Linked DNA regions of Canis lupus familiaris. The protein of the gene in region 2 interacts with the protein of the main gene of each other region in a pairwise test. Links are inferred from orthologs where the notes say so. Each region holds a gene or a part of one and is shown on either strand. Other genes may lie near its edges.

The links. The genes of interacting proteins can lie anywhere in the genome.
Region 1: the proteins of THAP1 (region 2) and C6H7orf50 interact in binary tests that used the Homo sapiens proteins (3 or more experiments, as listed by UniProt). The two-hybrid records come from large-scale screens. The link is inferred for Canis lupus familiaris from reciprocal best matches to the Homo sapiens genes THAP1 and CHLSN.

What each region holds. Positions count from the first base shown.
Region 1 is NC_049227.1:16,009,832-16,017,511, forward strand, and holds part of C6H7orf50 (uncharacterized protein C7orf50 homolog), read left to right. Parts: intron 1-4,313; coding exon 4,314-4,513; intron 4,514-7,680. UniProt on the Homo sapiens protein: Hormone secreted from the intestine in response to cholesterol, where it acts to inhibit cholesterol synthesis in the liver and VLDL secretion,leading to a reduction in circulating cholesterol levels. Acts through binding to its receptor, GPR146.
Region 2 is NC_049237.1:23,671,789-23,680,268, forward strand, and holds the start of THAP1 (THAP domain-containing protein 1), read left to right. Parts: upstream 1-3,654; 5' UTR 3,655-4,330; coding exon 4,331-4,401; exon of another isoform or gene 4,402-4,486; intron 4,487-4,625; exon of another isoform or gene 4,626-4,881; intron 4,882-4,887; exon of another isoform or gene 4,888-5,312; coding exon of another isoform or gene 5,313-5,365; intron 5,366-8,292; coding exon 8,293-8,480. UniProt on the Homo sapiens protein: DNA-binding transcription regulator that regulates endothelial cell proliferation and G1/S cell-cycle progression.

The DNA of each region.
Region 1 (7,680 bases), on a different chromosome or scaffold from region 2:
CATCCTGTACTACATCCTGCACTACATCCTACCTATATCCTGCAGCTCTCGGTGGAAGGTTTTTCTGCTGGGTGGAGTCTGTGGTAACCTTTCCAAATCAAAGTCATATCATTTCTCCCCTGACTCGTGCCAGGAATTACCAAGGTGAAAGAAAATGGTGGCTTATGGGACACCTGGATGTCTCAGTGGTTGAGCATCTACCTTTGGCTCAGGTCATGATCCAGGGATCCTGGAATCGAGTCCTGCATTGGGTTCCCCACAGGGAGCCTGCTTCTCCCTCTGCCGATGTCTCTGCCTCTCTGTCTCTCATAAATAAATAAATAAAATCTTTTAAAAAATGATCATTTATAACGTACTCATCTTTCCTCAAACAGTGTCAACGTTTCTATCAGAGGTGCCCCCATATTTCTTTTACTTACCTAGTTTCACTCTTGAGTCTGGGACTTTTGGGTTTGTTTATTTCCAGTATGTTTAATACATGCAGCCAGTGTTTTCATTGCCCTAGAAGCCGGTAAGGATTTGATTTTTAGTGCATTTAATGACATGAACACTACGTTACTTACTATTGTACTTGAAAACATTTATGTTGAGATGACCTAGAAGAAATTCCAGGTCCCTCGGTCATACCACCCATCATCCTCCTTGGTGGCAGTGGCAGGTCCATTTGTCCTGCCTGAAGTTTTCCATGTGCATTGAGTTATTTTTGTGCCTTTTGAAACACAGTCCAGGAGACGTCTAACAGTAAGAGAATGTGTTGCTGAAAGTTTGACTTCCCGTAATAGGAGATTCTGTATGTGGTCCAACGTGGAATGCCAGAAACCATGGCAGCACTGCTGTGCGGTCATCCCATCTCTGTAGAAATGCGTGTTTGCATGGAGGCTGCACACTGTCAGTTCCACGTGTTTGTGACAAGCAAACAGGCAGCAGACCAGGGTGGTGGCAGATTCCCCCCATGTTGTCCAGTCTGTGTTTTGGAAAAGGGTCGTGTTCACAGCTGGTGATCTGCTGCCGCCCTAGACTTCCCCTGGAGAGTGGGCCAGGCCTGCAGGGGGCTGGGGGTGCTCCCCCTCTCACCCCATGACACTCCCAGAAGGGACCCCAATAGGCTTCGATGATCTGACTGCTGCATTCCTTTTAAGATTTTTCTCTGTTTACATGGGCTGTTCACAACCTTTAAACGAGGTAACTTTGAGGGGGTATGGGTGATGGTGGCAGGTGTGTCCCAACTGTTGTTTGCTAATTAAAACCGAGTTCTGTGGAGGGTTATCAGAGCAGTGGCCACTGGAAGAAGTTCATTCTCAGCTGGAAGGAAAGTTGTATTAATAAGCCTTGCCTCCAGAGATGGTGGTATCACTAAAAGCTCGCAGGCGGCCCCTGGCAGCTGCCGTGCTTGAGAACCCCCCTGCACAGGCGATGCTGCAGGATGAGGGAAGCAGGGGGGTCCCGGGTAGGTCCCCATGGCCCTCACCCTGACGTGCTGGGAGGTCCCTGGGTCCAGCCAGTGCCTGTCCTGCTGTCTCCCATCCCAGCCCCTACCCCCTGGTCCCATGCAGGCTCCACCATGGCTGACACAGCACTCTGGCCCTGCCAGCCTAATGTCCACACAGGGCACCACTCCAGAATAGCTGACGTCACTCGTGTGATGGTAGCAGCAATGGGGGTGTCACCTGGTCCAGGCCAGAAAGGTCAGGGCACCCAGAGCAAGGAGACCAGGTGAGGTCCACGCAGCAGTGGGCACCATGGCCAGCCCAGTTACCCTGCAGCCCTCACTTGGCCTGTCCCTGCTGTGTGGGCCAGGTCACAGCCCTGCATACCTGCACCCACCTCTTTATCTTCAAGCAATGCCAAGGACCTTTGTGTTTTTCACAAATCATTGCTTGGATTCATGTGCTCACCTCCCGGTGAAGGACCACAGCTGGAGGAGAGGCAATGGTCTGTCACCCTGTCCCCCTCCTTGGCAGTATTGGTGGGAGAGTGGCTCTGGTTACTTTCCTTGGTGGCCCCTACCCTCTGAAGAGAATCAGAAAGGGCCAGTGTTTAGGGAAAGGAAGGCTGGTCCAGGTGGAGAGTCTGTCTTGGTGTTAGGGGTCAGAGGGCTTGGGTCAGAGGTGCTGGCTTCCTCGTCTGCTTCACACAGTATGGTTTGTTTTGCTGTCATACTGTGCATTGTTTAAGCTGCCAGCCCTTAAAATTCAGGAGGCTTCACCCTGTGTGATTCTGTTTCCAGCTTCTCTGGAGAGGCCTCTCAGCCTGGGCTGTGGCCAGGGTGTGGGCATCCAGCTGGACCCCCTCAGCGTCCCTGGCTGACCCCTGGCACAGTCAAGGGTGGGCATCACGGCCCTCTGAACAACTCTGGAGGCACATTTAGCTCCTGAGGACGCAGAGCATGGGCTCCAACTACCACCACGCCAGGGTGACCGTTAGCCAGAGAGAGAAAGAAGCTATCTGTGTCCTTTCCAAGTTCACATGTCCTTAATGCTGGGTGTTGTAGAAGAAGAAGCCAGACCTCACAGGCCACACCGCATTCAAGTCCTGGCCACCAGCCTGGTGGCCCCTCTGTGGGGACTGCACACACTCCGCAGGCCACCCCTGGGCCCTCAGGAAGCAGACAGGGCTCCATCTCCTGTGGGGTAGGCCCCTCCAACCTCGGTGGGAGCATCCTTACCCCACTGGGTCAGAGCAGGAGGCAGAGGCCAGGCCCTGGTGACAGCCAGCACCATGACAGATGCAGGGTTTGTACTCAGCACTCTGGGCAAGGGGGCAGCTGCTTCCTACCCTCCCTGCCCCTGCCCAGGCCCTCAGGGTCAGTGTTGATGTGCCCTCGGCCCCCGCTGCTACAGCCCTGACCTTTCACTGAGACTTTGGCCCTGAAAGGCTGCTGCCCTATTGCCTGCCTGGCTTCAGGGAGGCAGAGGCTGGCCTGCGGCTGTTTGCTGTTCTCGGTGCCAGACTGGCTGTGCTGCCTGCCCAGTCGGCCACCGTGGCCCAGGGCGGTCTGAGCAGGCAGCTGGGGCAGGGGAACTCCCTGCAGACGTCATGCTCATCAGACAGCTGCCCCCTAGACTTCAGGAAACACCTAAAAACCAAAGCCCCTCAGGCAGCTGGGGCGCTGGGCTCCTGGGGCTGTATCTGCGGAGATGCCACTCCTCCCCAAGAAGGGGGTTGTCCAGAGACTCTCCTCTGAAAGCACCTCCCGTCCTGGCGGCCTGAGAGCCCTGCGCTGGCACACGTGTGTGTGTGTGTGTGTGTGTGTGTGTGTGCGCGCGTCCATGCTTGCGTGTGGCACTGCTGGAGACTCCCTAGTGTAACCCTGAAACCCCACTGCTGGTAAATTCAGCTGGTTTTAAAGGGAAGCAGAGGAGGAGCTGACGAAAGCTGCTCTTTTGTTTTAGAAGATTCCGGAAGGATTCAGTGTTTAGTGGGAACACAAAGGTTGTCAGGACGCTGCCATTTTATGAAGGGACTTGCCTGGCCTGGGGGGTGGGGGAGCAGCCGGAGGGAGGGGCGTGGCTCTGCAAAAGCTGGATGCCCCTGGGGCAGCTGGCTAGGCCTCTGGAGGCCTGGGGAGCAGTAGCCAGGTCCCTGGCTGGAATCACAGTGACACTGGCACTGGTGTTGTAGGTTTTCCAGGAAGGGGGAAGGGTGTGCAGCTGCTGGAGTCACACACCACCACCCCCCACCTGGTTTTGAGTCTCATTTGGTTTGATAGTCAGGACTATACCTGGCTGGTGTCTGGGAAAATGGTGTCCAGAAGCCACAGCCAGCCAGATCGGGAGGGCAAGAGGCCACTAGTGCCGCGTCTGCCAGCTGCACAGCTTCCTGCTCTCCTTGGGAGAGGTTTGCTGGAGCAGAAGGGCCTCAGCGGATCCTTGTGGCGGGAAGACTGCCCGTCCCCATCCCCCGGGAGCAGTGTGCCTTTGATTGCGCCTGTACCTCATGTCCTGCTGGGCGGTGGCCTGGGGGTGGCCTGGGGCAGACAGCAGTGGGAATGGGCTGGGGACAGGCGAAGGGCAGTGTCCTGCAGAGCCTCATGGGATGGAGCCCTCCAGGTGGCCCAGAAATCCTTGTCCCCAGCACTGAGCACACAGGGTCTGGAAATGCAGCTGAGGTCACTCAACTTTGACCCGTCCTGGGGTGAGGGTCACCTGAGTCCCCAGGAGGGCAAGACTCTGAGCAGCTGTGTCTCCATTTGCCAGGGGAGCCCAGCACGGGGTGTGGGACAGCCCACCCACCTGGTAGGGGTCAGCTCCTCAGAGCGGGGCTCCAGGATGCTGCGAGACATCCTTGCAGGCTGGTTCTCCCTTGACTTTTAGGGAGGAGCAGTATTGGGGGCTGGGCAGGAGACGGCCCCCCAGCTGCCAGTGCTAACCCCGGAGGAGAAGAGGGTCCTGGAGAGGAAGCAGAAGAAGGAGCGGAGAAAAGAGGAGAAGAAGCGACTGCGAGAGTCAGGAGCAGCCCAGAGCCCACCAGCCAAGCGTTCCGGGGCCCAGCTGGCCCTGGACTACCTCCGTGGGTAAGACGCCCCCCTCGCGTGGGGCCTGGCCAGTGTCCAGGGACTCTGTGGTGTCCTGGGAGGGAATTTGGGCTGTGGACTCAGGTGACCTGGGTCACATCTGGCTCCAGAACCACTAGGACCCTGGGGGCAGTAGGGCCACCACCAGTGGTGCTCCTGTGGTCTGAGGCCTGTCCTGGCAGGTGTCACCACAGAATCATCACCTCCAGTGGGGCTGTCAGAGGAAAGGGAGCAGGGCACAGTCACTGCAGCCATGACTGGAGCCCTTGGGGTGCCCAGCAGACCCTGCTTTACCCTGTCACCACAACCAGGTAGAGGCTGGCAGTTACACTGCTAATAGCTTTGTAGGAAACTTTCTAGAAGCTCCAAGAAAAGTGAGGCCACTGTAACACCACTGGCTTCTCTTTGCAAAGAAACTTATAGGTAAGTAGAGGCAGGTGTTCCAGCAGGGCCCCCCCTCCTGGTTTTCCTCCCCAGAGAGTGAGTTCGTACTTTCTCCGATCTGTACTCACTCTTTAGGCCATGAGCCTCAGCAATCGAGACCAGGTCAGCCTGAGAATGCCTGCCATGGACACATGCTTTCTCTTTTTCCTCATTGTTTTTGGGGAACAGTTTACATGCAGCCACTGCCACAGCCAGGTTAGAACACCTTTGTTACTGCAGAAAGCAGCCTTCTGCTCTCATGCAGCTCCCTACCCCAGCTCCAAGCGAGCCCTCCTCAAACTTGTATCACTGTGTTAGCCCTTGTATCACTGTGGATGTGCCAGTTTGGGACTTGTTCACCACATGGCCTCTTGTGGCCTGCTGCTTCCACCTGGTGTAGTGTTTTGAGGTTCATCCACATGACAGCACATGCCAGCATTTCCTCTCTCCTTATAGCCAAATATGCATCGTGGCTATTGTGGCTGTTGCTGTGGTGCATGCCCATGTGCAGGATTCTGCGTGGAAGTGTTTTCCTTTGTCTTGGGCATAGCCTTGGGGCAGGGTTTGCTGGTGACTGGTGTAGGAGAGCTGCAGACACAACAGTTGCAGCATTTCAGCCCCACAGCAAGGGGAGGTGCTCTGATGATGGCCATCCTAATGAGGGTGGGGTGGCATCTCATAGTCCCCTTCACTGGCATCCTGTACCATGTTGAACCAAAAATCCAGGTAACTCCGTGGGCTGCTGGGCTACCGCCTCTTGGCTCCTCCCTGGAGGGTCACTGGATGGACTCAGTGAGGAAGATGGACTCCTCCCCAGGAGGACAGCTGCCCACTGGCTCTTGAACCTCCACCTGCTGGCCTGCAGAACGCTAGAAGGCCCTGACCTGGCTGCACTGGGGGCAGGAATTCCTCTCTGGAAGCCCGCCTGCCTGCTGAGAAGAGGGCTGCAGATAGGCTCTTGGACTTCTCTCTGCTGCACACACACCCCCACCCCCCACCCCCGGAGCAGCCGGCCAGAGAGCTGAGGGAGCTGTGGCCTGGACTGTGGTCGGAGTTCCCATCCCCTGGCCCATTATTAGCTGTAATGATGTGTAATTCTGTGCGGTGTGGGACCTTCAGTCTCCCTGCAGCCTTGGCTCCTGGGCACAGTGGGTCTGTGCTGGAACCATTGCCCCTTTGGGTGTCTAGTTCTCCAGTGTTGGTATCACCTGGGCACACTCCTCCCACAGTTCCCAGAAGAAGTGGGGAAGGGAGCTGGGGAATCTGTGTCTGCTGGGACCACATGCTGGCACAGCCCTCCTGGCCTCCCTAAACTCAGCAGGGGTGCCAGGGGAAGTCCTAGGCCCAGATGTCCATGGGGGAGGCTGGGGTGACCCGACTGTGTGTCATGTGTGGGGTGTGCCCCACAGGGAAGTGCAGAGACCACACCAGCAGCTTAAGGACACCCAGCCCATTGTCACCCTCTGGGGATCCTCTTCAGGTCTAAGCACTTCTCTCCATACTGGTCTGTCCAGTCTCTGAGGCCTGCCTGGTGCAGGGGCTCAGCACTGTGGGTGCCACCAGCGTCCTCTGAGATCAGAGCAGATGCAACATCCGTGCCTCTCTGAGAGCCAGTCTGCATTTCTGTGAGCCTGCACGCCTGGGCAAATTGCTTTCTGCCAAGGTTAGAGCTGTCCTCCCAGCTAGGTTGGTGCTGGAGACAGAGAAGGCCATTGGGCCCAGGATGGACAGAGGAGCAGGTGGACAGGCCAGGGAGATGCCAGCTACAGAGTGGACCCCAGGCTGTACAGCAGGACACAGAGCCTGACTAGGGCAGCTGGCAGTAAGGACGGGCCAGGAGGCTTGCGGTGCCTATGGCCACTCTCTGTGTAGACCCCTTATGGAAGGCAAAGGGAGGGCTTCACTCTGGATTGCCCAACTCCCTGGTTTTCACCTCAGGGACTACTGCCCTGCCCAAACTGCCCCCACTACCTAGAGGCCAGCCCAGGGACCGTGTCCATCCTCTGGTTGGCAGCCTGTCCTCAGCAGTGTAGTCCTTGCTTCCGGCCTCACCTCCAGCCCCCATGGACTCTTGCAGCCCCCTAGTGCCTGCCAGGTGTTGGTGCTGTGCAGATGGAGCCATGCCGTGTTCCATGTGTCCTCGTGAAACAGCAGTGATGGCTTGTGCACCCTGTGGGAGCCTCAGGGGTAGTCCTGGGTACCTATGAGATGTCACAGCCTGGGACAGAGGCAGCTAGGGTGCAGGGTTCCCAGAGGAGAGGAACTCCTCTCCTCTGGGAACCCTGCACCAAGTGCCTGTGGCATGGGCTGAGGGCAGAGAGACATACTCTGGTAGTTTTCTTCCCTTCTCCCCGGGGGTCCCTCCTGTCTGCCCAAGCCAGCAGGACTGTCCTCCTGGCAGGAGGCCATGGGCCATCTGCAGCTATACCTGTTGCCACACAAAGTGACCTTGTGGGAATGAGGTTCCACCTCGAGTAGCTGGGGCCCCATTTCCCAACCACAGCCGGGCTGTGCTGCTGTGGCTGGCAGGGCATCAGAGAGCTCCTGAGAGCAGGGGTTTGCAGGAGGGCACCCGTCTCCTGGAGGGGCCCCACTGTCACTTAAACTGGAACAGGAAGGTATTACTGCCCCATGTTATAGACAGGACTCCAGGAGCTCAGAGCTGGAAAAGGAGGTACGGAGCTGAAATACAGGCCACACTCTGTGCCACGCTCCATGGCTACTGCTGCATGCAGCCAGTGGTA
Region 2 (8,480 bases):
TCATCCTCTTTGAAATAAATGTTCCCTGCAATCACCCCTTGACCAGAGAGGGGTGAGTAGAGAATAGTTATATGAGCCTTAAGAAATATGTTGACAAGAAATGGGCAAAGGAGAGAAGAAAAACAGACAATGCATATATATTAGTTTAGAGAAAGTGGAAATTATTTTTCTATTAAATGTGAGACTACACAAGAGTGAAAATTTAAATTCGGGGGGGGGGGTTAGAAAAATTCAACATTCAGTTCAATTAATATTTTAAAAATTACAGGCAATTTACTTGGTCAATAAATTTACCATTGCAGTGCTTGCTTTGGCAGCACATATACTAAAATAAATTTACCATTTCAAAGTAAGGAAACATTAGGATTATTGTCAATAAATAATAAAAATATAGATTTCACTTCTAAGTTATTAATACCTAGAAGAAAGAAAACAAAAAGGGGGACTGAAGAAGAGAACTTCATTAAAGGAAATCCAACCAAGTAACTAAACTGACTAGTTTCACTCTAAACAAACTGATTAAAAATTATTACAAACTTCAAAAGAGTGCTCTGCACTGGTTGGTGATCCTTGCATGCTTCCTTAGTAGCCTGTATGACCAACCTCTGAGTACTTTTGGTCTTTTTCTTCTGACATTCTCCAGTCCTACACTCCCAGAACTGATGACTGCACTTCAGAAATTGCTCCCACTCTGCAAGTCCTCTATTTTGTGGGGAGAAGAGGATAGCACTTGTTTTCTTTTTTAAGGCCATCCCTCCATCTAAATGCTCAAGCCATAAATGTAATACCTTGATTCCTCTCTCTTCTGCATTCTCATATTAGCACAAAGCCTTGACATTTCTACATCCAACATGTTCTCAAATCCTGGTCATTCCATCTCCACTACCACTACCTTAGTCCAAGTCACCAAGCTGTGTTACTAGCCTGCCATGGCCTCTTACTGGTCTGCTGCTCACTTGCACTGTTGCCCCTCTGAAAAGCTCTTCATCTAATAGAATGACATTTAAAAATGTCATGTCTCTCCCTGCCTAAAAAGGTTCATTGGCTTCCTACTGCACTTAAAATCTAAACGTATGTCAACCTCACTTCATGCCCTGATTCCCCTGGCTCCTGGACTCATGCCGCAGCCTCCTTCAGTTCCCAGAAAATAACTAAACTCGCTGCTGCCACGGGTCCTCAGTACACACTCCCTGTATGGAGAATGCTCTTCCCAGCCTCCCCGTTTTCATTCTTCAGTGTTAGATCTTTTTCCATTCTTTCTCAGCGAAATATTCCCTTCTCAGATGATCCACCTACCCCAGCTAGTGACCCCTCCTCTATGTATTCAGGCATCTCAGCACAATGTTATTTTATTCACCTTCTTATTGTCTGTCTTCCCCTTACTACAATAAGCTCTGTGAAGATAGGGACTGTTAATCTTGCTCACCAGTATATTCCCAGACCTAGCATAATGTCTGCCATTTGCTCAATAAATGTAAATAAAGAAATGGAAGGGAAGAAAAGGAGAGAAGACAAGATCACTTCTTATTCCTTATTCCCAGCCAGGTTAAGCCACCATCCTCTCTCACCTACACTGCCATAGAAGCCTGCCTATCAGTCTCTCTGCCTCTAAGTACCCCCTGCTATCTATACTCAACACAGCAAAGTGATGGTTTTAAAAGACTGGATCATTTCTCTGCGTAAACCATGTTCTCCATCTCAGAGTAAAAGTCAAAGTCCTTACGCTAGCTTACAGGTCCCTACATGACCTCAGCCTGTTTCCTCTGACTTTATTATTTGTCCCCCCAGCTCACTCTGCTCCAGTCACACGGGCCCCTTTACTGTTCTTTGTACAGGCTGGGGACACTGAGCCTCAAGAGTTTTACCTTAGCCATTCCCTCTGCCTGTAAGACTCTTCCCCCAGATATATTTCTAGCTAACTCTTACCCATTCCAAATTTTGGCTCAGTAGTCTCTACTAAGCCTGTCCTATCCTTTGTATTTAAAATTGCAACCTCCTCACCCCCACATAGCCCCTTTCACCTTTTAACATGTCATATGGTTTTATGTTCTTTGTCTGCCCCCTCCAACCTCCACTAGACTATTACCTCCGTGAAGGCAGAAATCTTTGTCTTGTTCATTTATGTATCTCAAGTCCCTAGAACTGTGCATAGAACATAGCAAATGCTGAGTAAATATCTGCTGAATCAGCTGATGAGTCAATTTCAGTGAACTCTTAGTTAAAATATACTTTTCAGTTCACAAGCAGCTATCACACTTTTTTTTAAAGATTTTATTTTATTTGTTCATTAGAGGCAGAGAGAGAGAGAGGCAGAGACATAGGCAGAGAGAGATGCAGGCTCCCCTCAGGAAGCTTGATGGATCTCTGAACTCCAGGATCATGCCCTGAGACAAAAGCAGAGCTTAACTGCTGAGCCATCCAGGCATCCCTATCACATTCTCATCCTTATTGCATGCACAGTAAACCACAGAAGAAATTTCTGTCTATCCCTGGAAATGCTAATAAACTATTATTTTAGTATTTGGTGAAAGGATATGGCTCTGAAATTCCTCAAGTTTTCTGGGCCCAGTTGATTTAACAAACATTTTCTAGATACTTAATGCCAGACACTGCAAGCTGCTGGGGTTACAAGGCTAAGACAAAGTCCTCCTCAACAGGGCCTCAGTCCATGAAGTGGGACAACCATACAGTAACGTATGGTTCATATACAGAGAGGTTAAACGCAAAGTTTTCGTTGGAACAAGAGAGGTGCCTAAGTTGAGAGGCTTAAGAAAAAGAGGATAGAGAAAGCATGTTAGAAAACATAACACCTGAGCCACATCTTGAAGGTGGACAGGTCAGTGAGAGGCATTTCAGCCTAAGGGCAAACAGGCTATTTATGGAAGCCAGGAGAATGCCTGCCCTGTGTGAAACATGATGGTAGGAAAGAGTTAAAGACAAGTGGATGGAGAATACAGTGAAAAGGTAGAAGTAGCCGGTCCTCAAGGGCTTTATGACACTATCGAGTAGAGGCAGCTTTTGAAGATGTGAACAGGTGTATGACAATTACCTTCTGTGGAGGATAGACTGGAGAGGCAAAACGAGACCTCGGACAGTCAGAGGCTGTTGCATGGTTAAGAGAACGCGAGAGGGCCTGATCAAGAACAACGAGGAGAGGAGGGATGGATTTAACAAGTATTTACTTACTTTATAAACTTATCCTGGTCATCAAACAGATGTAGAGAGTGGGAAAGAAATCTAAGGTTTCCGGTTTAAGCAACTGAACACATAATTCACAGAGGATAATCGAAGGCAGAAAAATTTACATAAGAAATAGAAGACCATTAGGAAATCAGAGCGTTTTATTGAACTCAAGCAGCAGGGTGTTAAGGAGGAGGAGGGCGGAGGATGGAACCCTGGGGAACCACGAGGACTGAGGCGGGGGTAGGCAGAAAGAGTACAATAGAGCCGTGGAATTCGTCACCAGCCTGCGCTGCAGACTCGCAGGCCCCGACCTGCAGACGGGAGGGCACGCCGCCGGAGGCAAGCGGACGGACCCACCCGCGCAGCTCGCGATCCCACCCGGCACCTGCGGGGCACTACCGCTACGCCCTCCGGCGGGAGCGAGTGTCCGCTCGCACTGCCACAGTTCAGGCGCCTGCGCCCTCAGAGCCTTGTGACACCTGCAGGGCAGGTAATGAATGGGATGAAGCCTGGCGATGTGGGCAAGGGTCCACAGAGTTTCACAGATCATATTCCATCTGTGGCTGCCCTTTGAGAGAAACGGGAAGAGCTACCCAAAGGCCTCACCCTCATACCTGCCCTCCTCTACGCCACCACACCCAAAGACCCCGCTGCTCTCCACCCCGCATCGTCCCAGATAAACTAACACACGGGGCCAAGCAGGTGGCGGAGTCTAGCCCCGCGCTCACGGTTCCGTCCCCTCCCCTCGCCTCTCCGCTACTCCCAAAACACTTCCTCTCCCTCTTCCGGAAGCTCGGAGGCCCCACCCACTACCGCAACGCCTGGCCTTAGCCAATGGCCTGCTTCCCAAGGAACGTTACCTCTGACCTCGGGGCTCATCAGACAGTGGGACAAACTCCTCGCGAGAGGTGAGGTTGAAGCTGCCTCCGCCATCTTGGAGATGGGAGACGGGCGATGGCTGTGGTCCTTCTGCTAATGCAAACAACAAAACGGGCACAGTAGTCAATGCGGGGGAGCTTATCATCACAGAAACTGTTGACCAAAGCTACAGAAGGAGTGAGGGTGTCAAAGCGCAGCGCAGCGGCATCGATAGCCGCTTCTCCTGCTTGCGGGAGCGGCAGAAGTGAAGTGAGTGGAGGCCGGAAGGATGGTGCAGTCCTGTTCCGCCTACGGCTGCAAGAACCGGTACGATAAGGATAAGCCCGTTTCTTTCCACAAGTAAGTACCCCGCGCGTCTCGCGGGGCTGGCCCAGCTCGGGCTGGGGGCGAGCGGCCGGTTAGGCTCGGGGGCGGGGCCAGCTTGCGTGCGCGCGAGCCCGGATGAGGGGCGGGGTGGGGCAGGGGCGGGGCCAGCGCGTGTGCGCGCGAGCCCTGATAAGTGGGGCGGGGCGGGGCGGGGCGGGGCGGGGCGGGGCGGGGCCAGCGGGTGTGCGCGCGAGCCTCGACGAGGGGCCGGGGCAGGCCGGTCCTCCTCGCGGTCCCTAGTCCCCCGTCCCCCGTCCCCCGTCCGCCGGGCGGCGGGTGTACCCGCCTGGGTCGGAGCTCTCGTGCTGCCGCCTCCGGCTGCGCGTGGCTGCCATGGCCGTTTCTTGCGCTCGAGAGTCGGAATCCACGCTCGGGGTTCGTCCGCCGCCTGCCGTGGACGTGTCGGCGCCCCAGGAGCGGCGTCCGTGGGCGCCGCGCGAGCCTCTGCTCGGGGTAAGAGGGCAGCGAGGGCGTAGTAGCGCCTCCTGAGTCAGTACGGAGCCGAGACAGAGGCTGTGAACGTGACGGAGCCGCTCTTTTCCCAGCCTTGGCGTGCCTGGGAGGCCAGCTTCACAGCAGCTCAGGCTTTCGGGGAGGACGTGTGCACTCAGTGCCTAGGGGCCCACCTCGGGGCACCTCTGGCTGTTGGAGGGAGCCTCTGGGACGGCCAGGACCTCAGTTGGCGCGCAGCGATGGGGTCCCAGGTCCGCACAGCTGGCTCGCCCCCGAGGAAGCCCACAGGTCCCGGGGCCGTGATGGCTTTGGCGGCTAGAGAGGCCTGTGGGAGAAACGACCTCGTGATCATCGGATGTCTGCAAAGTGGGACTCGATGGCATTTTCATTCCGCCAAATAAAGTGTTTACAGACTTTACGTTATTATAAATATGATTATTTACATTATTATTACCAAACCGATGGCAAATTATAGCAATTATACGTAAGTAAATCATTACAAAAGCAAAATTTAAGTATTCCGTCAGTTTTTTTGGTGGGGTCGTGTGTAACAGGGGATGTGGGTGCATTTTATGCTTAGTAGAAGAGGGACCCAGGGAAATGAGTGCCTTACCACGCAGATCTGAGTGTTGATTGATGGACCACCACCACCATCCCCATCCTGCCCTCCACCTGCAGGACGACTGAGAGCACCTAACACTCCAGGATCTACTTCAGTATATCCTGAGATCACTTCTTTATTTGTTGGAATTTCTGAAAGCTGATGAATTGACTTCCAGTTCTTTGAAAGTGTAGGAATAGATCAGAAGACGGTGACACTGTTATGTTACAGCCAGCTCTGCACAACCCCGTTTCTAATCAAAGAATCTAAAAATGTGGAAAACCCTTCATTGGTACTAGAAACTAAGGATGGCGTTCACACATCAGAAATAGTTTCTGCTGGCTGTCAAATGATTGGGTCAAAGGAGGAGCTGATCTGCCTCTCCTTCTTACCTATAAAGAACAATTTTTTGGAAATAGATGGGAATTATTCTCACAGAACTCCATCATGAACAGCCTGATCATTGTAGTGTGTAAGACAGGAGGCCCAAGGGGCTGAATTTTACTGGTGATGGCTACCATCTGTTGTATTTCTGGAGGCCATTTCCAGCAGAGATCTTCTACCACTTTCTACATGGTGGCCCAGTGGCAGCAGCTGTTCTGGGCAAAGAAAAGAACTGTCCCAAAGATTGGTTAGTTCTTCATGATAGCAGAGTCCAGCTCTGGCATACCTTATGTAGAAGAGAAGCTAGAACATGGAGTTGAAGCATCCTTTGGCTTTCCAGTTTCCCCATTTCACTAGATACTTGACTTGGAAAAGTAAAATCACAGTAAATATAAACCCTTTCTAAGCCCACTTTTCTGGGCCAGATGGACATATTCCAGTTGATTTCGAGGTAAAATAAGATCAATAATATTCTTATGCTGGAATTAAAAACAAATCAGAAGACTAAAATAAATTAAAACTTTTATTTTTTTAAATTAAAAAAATTGGGCAGCCCCGGTGGCTCAGTGGTTTAGTGCCGCCTTCAGTCTGGGACGTGATTTGGAGACCTGGGATCGAGTCCCACGTTGGGCTCCCCACATGGAGCCTGCTTCTCGCTCTGCCTGTGTCTCTGCCTCTGTGTCTCTTGTGAATAAGTAAATTAAAATCTTTTTAAAAAATAAATTTAAAAAATTTTAATTTATCTATTCACGAAAGGCAGAGACCTATAGGCAGAGGGGTAAGGGGGCTCCCTGCAGGGAGCCCAATGCAGGACTAGATCCCAAGGACCCCAGGATCACAACCTGAGCTGAAGGCAGATAGATGCTCAACCACTGAGCCACCCAGGTGCCCCAGTAAATAAAAACTTAAAAATTAAAAAACAAATAAGAACTTCCCAAACCTGAGGAGAGACTTGGGCATCCAAGTTCATGAAACTAATCAACCACCCCCTTTCAATTCCAAACATATATAAATAAATGAATACATGAAAATTTAAATTTATCATTATGATTTGACTATAATTCGATTAATTCATATTTGTCAAATTGATCCTAAGAGAACTAGAACCTTCTTTTTCTGCAGTATGTAGATATAAACATATAATTTTATTTTCATTGATTAAAAAAAATCAGTACAGATTTACCCTATAGTATATATTTTACTTGAAACTCTTAGTATCTTTGACATAAAAAGTTAAACATTAATAAATGAGACAGAGAAGCTATATGATTACCCTTGTATATTTATTTTTTAAAAAAGATTTTATTTATTTATGTCTGAGAATACACAGAGAGGAGAGAGAGAGGCAGAGACACAGGCAGAGGGAGAAGCAGGCTCCATGCAGGGAGCCTGACGTGGGACTCAATCCTGAGTCTCCAGGATCAGGCCCTGGGCAGAAGGCGGCGCTAAACCACTGAGCCACCCGGGCTGCCCTACCCTTGTGTATTTAGATGTGTGTGCAATACCTGTATCACTTAGTGAAAGTTAGTGAAAATAAGTTATTCATTTATTTGAAAGTAATGGAGGGAGACCAGTGATAGTACTGCACATGTCCCTTGACTTCCACTTCCAGCTTCCCATCATCTCCTCTTCCCATTGCATGCATCTGTCTGCATGGCTGACCTTCAATATGTATGTTTTTACATTTTGTAAATTTTTAATCAGCCTGTCTTTTTTTTTTTTTTTTTTTTTTTTTTTTTTTTTTTTTTTTTTTTAAATTTTTATTTATTTATGATAGTCACAGAGAGAGAGAGAGAGAGAGAGAGGCAGAGACATAGGCAGAGGGAGAAGCAGGCTCCATGCACTGGGAGCCTGATGTGGGATTCGATCCTGGGTCTCCAGGATCGTGCCCTGGGCCAAAGGCAGGCGCCAAACCGCTGCGCCACCCAGGGATCCCCAGCCTGTCTTATTTATATTGTTTGCATCATTGTTTCTGACATTCTCGTAACCACCCTGTGATCAAAAGATTCCTATAACAAATACTGCTTTTTATTTTTTAAAAAAATTTTAATTTAAATTCTAGTTAGTTAACATACAGTGCAATATTGGTTTCAGAAGTAGAATTCAGTGATGCATCACAGAGAACACCCACAAATACGGCTTAAAAAAAAAATTCCATGCTGAGAGGGTTGACTTATTATCACACCCTAGTAGTTGGTCATTTTATTTATAGGATCTTTAAAACATTCTTAACTCAGGTGAATAAAGGCACAACTAAAAACCGTCCAAAAAAAAAAAAATTGCAGAGCTAGTGTTTTAATCAAATGTCCCTTAGCTTGTAAACAACAATATAAAATGGTTCTTTCCTAAACATGAAAGTTTAGATGTGCTTTTTTTTTTTTTCTTTTAAAATAAGGTCAGAGAACTGAATTATCTCTTCTTCTTAGGTTCCCTCTTACTCGACCCAGTCTTTGCAAAAAATGGGAGGCAGCTGTCCGAAGGAAAAACTTTAAACCCACCAAATATAGCAGTATTTGTTCGGAGCACTTTACTCCGGACTGCTTTAAGAGGGAGTGCAACAACAAGTTGCTGAAAGAGAATGCTGTACCCACAATATTTCTCTGTACTGAGCCAC